Linked DNA regions of Callithrix jacchus. The protein of the gene in region 1 interacts with the protein of each later gene in a pairwise test. Links are inferred from orthologs where the notes say so. Each region holds a gene or a part of one and is shown on either strand. Other genes may lie near its edges.

Region 1 (3,805 bases):
TATGTTCCCAGAGCATAGCCCTGGATATTACATCCAGGCATGTAAAAGTTGAATTTCACCAAAGTGTACTAGGAATTCAATAAGTGTTTGTTGAATGAATAGAAGAATAATGTTTATTGCAGGCCTATGGTATGAAGTATTGTGTGATATAATAGACAAGGTATTCCTGGCTGCTACCATCTAAGAGATCACAATCTAGTTGAGTAACCAGGAGATATATAGGTAAAACTCCCTCCATTGTAAGTTGGAGATTTTGTATTTTACTTCTTTCTAACACGTGTGTTGGTTTCAGGTACATGACTCAGGGCTTGGACATGTCTGGTGTTTTTATGGAAATGGTGAAGGCCAGTGCCACTGTAGATATTGTCCAGAAGAAGTTGGTTTATCTGTACATGTGCACATATGCTCCCCTAAAACCAGATCTGGCTCTCCTGGCCATCAATACACTGTGCAAAGATTGCTCAGACCCCAATCCAATGGTGCGAGGGCTGGCGTTACGGAGCATGTGCAGCCTCAGGTGAGTACCCTCTTCTGTGTATGGTCTTCAATGGCTGCCTCAGCAGGGCAGATTTTTAAAGAGCACAATTTATTTGAGCTCCTTAATACTGGGGAAAACACTATTGTATGCTGAACTCAGATTTTCAGCTGTTGCTTTGGCCTGATAACCTGTATCATACAATTTTATTAGAGGGAGTTTTTCATTCTTACCCTCAATAAAATAGTCCTCAGTTTTGGTTAAATATTTCTAAACAATTACATGTGTATCTTTTTTGCTGCCTGTGCAGCAGCATTCAAAATGAAAAGTCAAATTAGAAAAAAAAAAAAGAAAAGTCAAATTAGGTTGGGTATGGTGGCTTATGCCTGTAGTCTCAGCACTTCGGGAGACTCAGGCAGGAAGATTTCTTGAGCCCAGGAATTCGAGACCAGCCTGGGCAAGATGGTGAGACCCTGTATCTACAAAAAATTTAAAAATTAAATGGGCATGGTGACACACACCTGTAGTCTCAGCTACTTGGAAGGCTTAGGCAGGAGGATGGCTTGAGCCCAGGAATTCAAGGCAGCAGTGAGCTATGATCAGGCCACTGTACTCCAGCCTGGGTGACAAAGTGAGACCCCCATCTCTAACAAAAACAAGAAAAAAACAGAAAAGTCAAATTATGGCTTTTTAAACTTGATAGAGATTCTCTGCAATTCTTCATGATCTGATAGAGGCAGCATCTGCTAAACCCTCTGTTAAGTGAACAGGGCTGATATATGTCAAAATTAGTATTTCAGGATCTGGCTAACTCCAGAATGTGTTGCTTAGGATGCCTGGTGTGCAGGAGTATATACAACAGCCTATTCTCAATGGTCTGCGTGATAAGGCTTCATATGTCAGGAGAGTGGCAGTCCTTGGATGTGCCAAGATGCATAATCTTCATGGAGACTCTGAAGTGGGTAGGTTCCGTGTAATCCATCATGGCCAATGTGCCTCTCTTACGTATAACTTTATAAAAGAATATGTGGCTTTGGTTGAAAATAATAATGTGGCCCTAGTTCTGTATATATCTCTTTAAGTGTGATGCAGGGCTTGGTATCTTCTGGGGCTCTGGTGAGATCTGATATTAGCTGCTTAGAACAGTCTGGACATGGCAGTTTTTTTGCCTTATACTTTAGTATGGCTTTTGTCATTTTTGTAGCAGAGAAGTTCAATTTTGTCTGCCTGGAGCTATTACTCTGGCTCTATCCCTGTTACTCTGAAGCTTTTCTTCTTTATCTGAAGAAGAAAATACACTGTGTTCTTTATCTTTGTTCTTTTTTATAGATGGTGCCCTTGTTAATGAATTATACAGTTTGCTGCGTGACCAGGATCCAATTGTGGTTGTGAACTGCTTGAGGTCTCTAGAGGAAATTCTGAAACAGGAAGGAGGCATTGTCATCAATAAGCCCATTGCCCACCATCTCTTAAATCGGTTTGGATGCCTCAGTGCTCTTTTTATTATGAGATCTGCGTCCTTGTGGGATCTTGTTAATTTACTGAAGTATTGAACAACTTATGTGTGGTAGAAAAGAAAGTTAACTATTATTAACTCCCTTGCATTTCACTGAGAGAACTTTTATTTGCCTTAGTTTCCCTTATTGATACAGGGAAATAGAAATATCCTGTGGGAATAGGTTCTACTCTTCTCTAGTCATTATATCCCTCAAACTAAGCCATTTATAGCATCTTAAAATGTAGAGAACCTGGACCTAGTATATGTAGTGTATGCTGATCATGTCTTTGGTCTTAGATGAGTGTGCATGTGTACTCATCTTGGAATTTTAAGCCTATTCTGTGGAAACTTTAAATAGTACATGAAAAGAATGATTTGATTATGGTACAGCCTATTTTTTTTGTTTGTTTGTTTGTTTGTTTTTTGAGATAGAGTCTTGCTCTGTAGCCCAGGCTGGAGTGCAATGGCATGATCTCAGCTCACTCAACCTCCGCCTCCTGGGTTCAAGCGATTCTCCTGCCTCAGCCTCCCAAGTAGCTGGGACTATAGGTACCTGCTACTACACCCAGCTAATTTTTCTGTTTTTAGTAGAGACCAGGTTTCACCATGTTGGTCAGGCTGGTCTCGAATTCCTGACCTTAGGTGATCCGCGTGCCTCAGTCTCCTGAAGTGCTGGGATTACAGGCATGAGCCACTGCGCCCGGCCCTCACAGCCTATTTTTAAGAATTCTCCCTTTGTTATGGTGAACAACCAACTGCTCATATGGCATTGGCATGGAGATGGTCCTAGTTTTGTTGCTAAAATAGCTCTTGTTTCATTTTTTTGATAGAATGTCAAAATTGGACCAATGGGGCCAGGCTGAAGTGTTGAACTTCCTGCTACGCTACCAACCCCGCAGTGAGGAAGAACTATTTGACATTCTCAATCTGTTGGACAGTTTTCTCAAGAGTGGAAGCCCAGGTGTGGTGATGGGAGCCACCAAACTTTTTCTGATCTTGGCAAAAAAGTTTCCCCACGTCCAAACTGATGTGCTTGTGCGGGTCAAGGGGCCTTTGCTAGCTGCCTGTTCTTCAGAGAGCCGTGAGCTCTGTTTTGTTGCTCTTTGTCATGTACGCCAGATCTTGCATAGTTTGCCAGGTCACTTTAGCAGCCACTACAAAAAGTTTTTTTGCTCCTACTCGGAGCCCCACTACATCAAACTACAGAAAGTGGAGGTGCTGTGTGAGCTGGTGAACGATGAAAATGTGCAGCAGGTGCTAGAGGAGCTCCGAGGGTATTGCACGGATGTGTCTGCTGACTTTGCACAGGCTGCCATCTTTGCCATAGGTAGGTGTCTGCTGCTTTTCCTTCTAGAGAACCGGGACCAGTCAGCTAGAAAGCTGTGGTTAGAGGAACCATAGAGGGCAAAGGGCATAAATCTTGCTTCAGAAGCAAAATGCTATGCACTAAATAATTGGATCAGTAACTGCAAACAGGGGAAAGAGATTTTTTTTTTTTTTGGTCAAGACTGCTGTTGCCGTATCTTTCAGGATGGCGAATACAGGTAACTCAAACTACAACACTTAAAATTTTTGTTGTCTTCTATCCAAAACGCTTTCCTGTATTTCATCTTACCACAGTCTCACGACAGTCAGGAAAAGTAGATAAATGTCGTCAACTTCATTTTAAAGACGAAGAAACTCAGGCACAAAAACAGTTATCAGATTGCCAAAAGGGCATGTAGTTTTAGAAATCGGACTGAAATCCAGCTTTCCTGACTCTAAGTCCTCTGTTAATCTACCAGTCATGGACTGAGCTTCTACTATGGGCTATGTATTGTGCTAAATATAGA
Region 2 (4,378 bases), on another chromosome or scaffold:
CAGGTCCAAGCGATCTTCCCACCTCAGCCTCCCAAGTAACTGGGACTACAGGTGAACACTACCATGCCTGGCTAATTTTTTTTTTTGGTAGAGACGGGGTCTCTGTATGTTGCCCAGGCTGGTCTCAAACTTCTAGGCTGAAGCAATTCAGTGACCTCAGCCTCCCAAAATGGTAGGACTACGGGTGTAAGCCACTATACCCAGCAAAAGTGCAACTTCTGATGAGTCACCCACCCCTGCATCCAAGGCTGCTGGGAGCAGGCAGGAATGAAGGCTGTGGGGCTTTTATTCAAGTACCTTTCTCTGGCCCAAATCTCTGGATTGACAACTCCCGGTAAACAGAGTCAGCACTGGCGTCACAGCCCACCCAGACACACTGAGTTGGGGCGCCCGAGGTGGTACCCAGTGAGGCTGACACTTAACGAAGCAGCCTCAGAATGACTTAAAGCCCCACGGTCAGGAAGCCCATCGTGCCAGTTGTGAGGGTGGCAGGGGTGCCCGGCAGGGCAGGTTGAAGGAATCCACCACCGCAGCTGCACAGGGGCTGCGAGTGCCGGGGAGGTGAAGACCCAGAAGGTGCTGGGTACTTGCTGGGAGTCCTGTATCGGGTCGATGCTGGTATGTCACCCCTCGGCGGCAGTGCCAACACGAAAACTTAACGCGCTTGACAAGGCGCCTTCGTGCACCCATCCCCCATCCTTTCTGAGATTGGTGCCAGTCCCGCTTTACAAACATGCAGGCACAAACCCGGGACCGCCGAGATTTCGCGGGCTTGTCAGTGGCTCGGTGGTTTGGTCAGCCGGGGTCTAAAGCACGCAGCGGCGGCTCAAACTCTGAACCACGGGGAAGCAAAGGACGGCCGGGGCCCGCCGGCTCTTGAAGGAGAAGGGCTCGGAGGGGCCCGCGCCCACCTACCGCGGCGGCGAAGCAGCTCCGCAGGGCCTGGAACTCCCGCGCGCAGAGGTCCTTGCTCAGGCGGCCGCCCGGGGCCGTAGAAGCCTGCACGCACCTGCCGTACGCCGCGGCCTGCGGAGTGGACGCGCGTGGGTAGTGGGGTTCCCCTGTCCCCGTCACAGCCCTTCCTCCCCATCACTGCCCCGCTCGGCCCTTCCTGCCCCGCAGCACTGGCCTGCCCAGGGCTCCTCACCTCGGCCCCGCAGGCAGCCAACCGCTCAGGGAAGGCGCGGAGGCGGCTTCGCACCCGGCCCCACACCGCTCCGTTAGCCGACATGAGCCTCTGTTCCCAGAGCCCCTGGACACCGCCATATTAGGTCCGTCCTCTTCCGGTGTCAAACAGCTTGATAGGTCGGCGCTTCCGCCCATCATCTTTCCTGAGCTTTTTAATTGCCGTCTCCTGGCCTTGAGCCCCCTGCAATTGGCTTTTGTCCTTGTCTGTCTCTGCCATGGGACTTCGGATTGGCCTAGACTCAAATTATTTACAAAGCCGACCTCAGGGCCCGTCCCACTACGAGGGACTGGGCAGCGGAGTAGGATGCGCGCGGTGATTGGAGGGCTCGGGCCTGGCGGAAGCGGGGCGGACCGGGAAGTGACCTGCATTATGGCGGCAGTGCCGCCGCTGCGGGACCGCCTGAGCTTTCTGCACCGGGTGAGTGGGAGCGGCCCCCCGCCCCCGGCTCCGACCCCACGTGTCCTCTCCGTCGCCGCTCGCCCCGGGCCGGAGCCGTTGACCTTGCGTCCCCGCCCTGGGTAGCCGCTCCTGGCCCCTTCGCTGCGCTGTCCCCGGGCCTCCCAAGCCGGACCCGCCGAGCGCGAGGGCGATGGGCACAGGCAGACCCTGGGGGAGAGAATAGGCCTCGGCCAGCATTCAGTGGCCTCCGACAGACAGGAAGGAGCGGCGGACCCGGTGGACGTGGAGCCGCTCCACGCTGCCGGCGCCCGGTGGGCTGACGGTGGCATTTCAGAGGAGGGCTCCGGTCCTGGAGAGGCACCCCTGGGTTGCCGAGAACACAGACATCTCGAAGGGACAGAGAAGGACGCACCGTTGTAAGCCCCTCTTAGTAAACTCTCTAAGAAGGAGAGGTCGGGGCCAGTCCCCAGGTGTCGTCCAGAGCAAACTGTCTTCTTTTGTCAGCCCTGAGCTTTCCTAGGGTGGACCTCAGAGGGGGCTGGGTAGTCCCGGGCGCGGCCTTGGGCTGCCAGAAGCCATGCCAGGGTTGGTCAAGCTCTCCGTGCAGGGTTTGGACAGAGTCGTTCTGTGCTGCGTTCTGCAGTCGTCAGCCGTCACCTGCAAACCTCTCAGCTCCCCTTAGGGCTTGATGGGCAGAATGTCAGTGATGTGTCCACAGCCTCGGGAAACACTTAAGGTCCACGTTTTTTTGTGTTGTCACTAGATCTCGGCCCTCACGAGTCAGTCCCATGCTTGTCCTCTTAAATATGCTTGAACTCCTCTCCTCTGTTCTGTTGCTGAATAATGCATGAATGAGCGTTTCCAATTTTCACCCCATAAACCATACGTCTTCCTGCCAGTAAGGAAGCATAAAAGAAAAAAGGACTTCTGCATTAAGCGAGCAACATAAAACACATGGCGTCACTCGGTTCTCAGGATCGAGGGAGCCAGTCAGGCCAAGGGGCTCTGTCACTCTGCCAATCCAGGCTCTAGGGAGCGGGAGCCATCCATAGTCCCCTGCGTGGAAAAGGGGCTTGCCTGAGCCTTGTTTGGCTTTGCTAGTCAGTAGGTAGATAGAAGTACCTTCAAATAGCCTTACATGCTGAGAAGTGCAAGGAGGCTGGGGGCTGTGTCCTATCTTATCCCAAGTGGCGCAGCCCCTCCCTGGAGAACCACCATTGATTTGCCTCTTCTCAGAGGCTGTTCGTCCCTGACAGTTGAGAGAGGACCCTGCTGCAGGCTCCCTGTGGCCCATAGCACCATTCTCGTCCCTTCCCAGTCCTTTCTCCGGCCATGTCAACAGCAAGAAGTGGGCCGTTTCCATCCCCTTTGGGAGCTGCGGACTCACCGCTGTGGGAAATGGCGCCTCATCACTGCAGAGGCTCTTGTTCCCTTTCAGCTCCCGATTCTCCTGAAGGGGACATCGGATGATGACGTCCCATGTCCTGGCTACCTGTTTGAAGAGATTGCTAGTATCCTTCCTCGACGTCCCTGTGTGGGGCAAGAGCGGATAGCAGGGTCCTGGTGTGGGGCAAAGGGTCACTGGGGGTTCTGCTGTCCCTAGAGGGATCTGCAGCTCCTTTATCATTGGAACCAGGCACCGGTGGGGTCTGAAGGCTGTGATACTGATGGCTCAGGAGAGCCTGGAAGCCCCAGCGCTCCTGATGGCAGGGCCTGCAGCAGGTGCCTCCAGGCACGTCTCCTTTCCCTTTATCATCTCCCTTCCCTAACCCGAGTGTGCTGCAGAAATCTCCCATGAGTCTCTGGGCAGCAGCCAGTGCCTGGTGGAGTACCTCCTGACCCGCCTGCACAGCAGCTCTGGCCATGGGAAGCTCAAGGTGAGCCCCTGGGTGGTCAAGGGTCAGGCCCGAGCCCCTGCCCACGGTGCTGAGGCTGGAGGAGCAGATGAGTGGTGTAGGATGGCTGGTGGCTCTGTGCCCTTGGGGCGCCCCTGGCCCTTCCCTGGTGTCTGGCCTGCCCAGCACCGCTGACCGCCCCACTCCCCAGGTGCTGAAGATCCTGCTCTATCTGTGCAGCCACGGGTCCTCCTCCTTCCTGCTCATCCTCAAACGCAACTCCACCTTCATCCAGGAAGCTGCAGGTACTGGGGCCATGCATGCTCTCCAGAAGAGCCAGGGCCGTGGACAGTGGGGGAGGGTGGTGAATCCTCCAAGCTTGAGAAGAAAGACATCAGCTAGAGCCCTCACCCCGGCCTGGTCCTGATCGCCACCCCACCTTGCTGATCCTGGTGGATCCCTGGCCTCTCCACCTGCGGCCCACCCTCACCCCAGCTGGCTGGCTCGGCCTCCCCCATGCACCCTGCCCCTCCCTCTGCTGCGTCCTGTGTGCCTGCCATGCATCCCTGGGCCTTCGGCTGCATCTGTCCCTGCACTTGCTACCTGGGTGCCATTGTTCGTTTCTGTGTGCCCCCAGGGTCTTCCCCCCCCCCGTCCCAGCACCCACATGTAGCAGGCTCCATGCCTATTCACATGTCCTCCCTGAGCCATGGGTTCTCCTCCTAGGGCTGCTCCTCAGAGCCCAAGACAGAGGTAGGGTAGGGCTGGGAGGCCGGTCTGTCCAGGCAGCAGGTGGGTCTGGGAGAGTCATCCCCCAGGCGGGGGGCAGTGCTGTGTGCCTCTGCCTAATGAGTATTTATGGGGGCTAGGCATGATATCTTCCGTGGGGAGGAGGGAGGCTTGGCTCCAGGTGGCCTTGGGGCGCACCGTGCTTAGATCCCCTGCCCCCTGCCAC

What was found.
Region 2: the proteins of AP4B1 (region 1) and TEPSIN interact in binary tests that used the Homo sapiens proteins (3 or more experiments, as listed by UniProt). The link is inferred for Callithrix jacchus from reciprocal best matches to the Homo sapiens genes AP4B1 and TEPSIN.

The regions. Positions count from the first base shown.
Region 1 is NC_133508.1:151,876,210-151,880,014, reverse strand, and holds part of AP4B1 (AP-4 complex subunit beta-1), read left to right. Parts: intron 1-292; coding exon 293-517; intron 518-1,306; coding exon 1,307-1,437; intron 1,438-1,804; coding exon 1,805-1,952; intron 1,953-2,803; coding exon 2,804-3,300; intron 3,301-3,805.
Region 2 is NC_133506.1:136,913,323-136,917,700, reverse strand, and holds the start of TEPSIN (AP-4 complex accessory subunit tepsin), read left to right. Parts: upstream 1-1,536; 5' UTR 1,537-1,558; coding exon 1,559-1,606; intron 1,607-2,906; coding exon 2,907-3,099; intron 3,100-3,373; coding exon 3,374-3,465; intron 3,466-3,634; coding exon 3,635-3,728; intron 3,729-4,378. Other genes in the region: NDUFAF8 (NADH dehydrogenase [ubiquinone] 1 alpha subcomplex assembly factor 8), read right to left, coding at 796-1,026, 1,148-1,231. UniProt on the Homo sapiens protein: Associates with the adapter-like complex 4 (AP-4) and may therefore play a role in vesicular trafficking of proteins at the trans-Golgi network.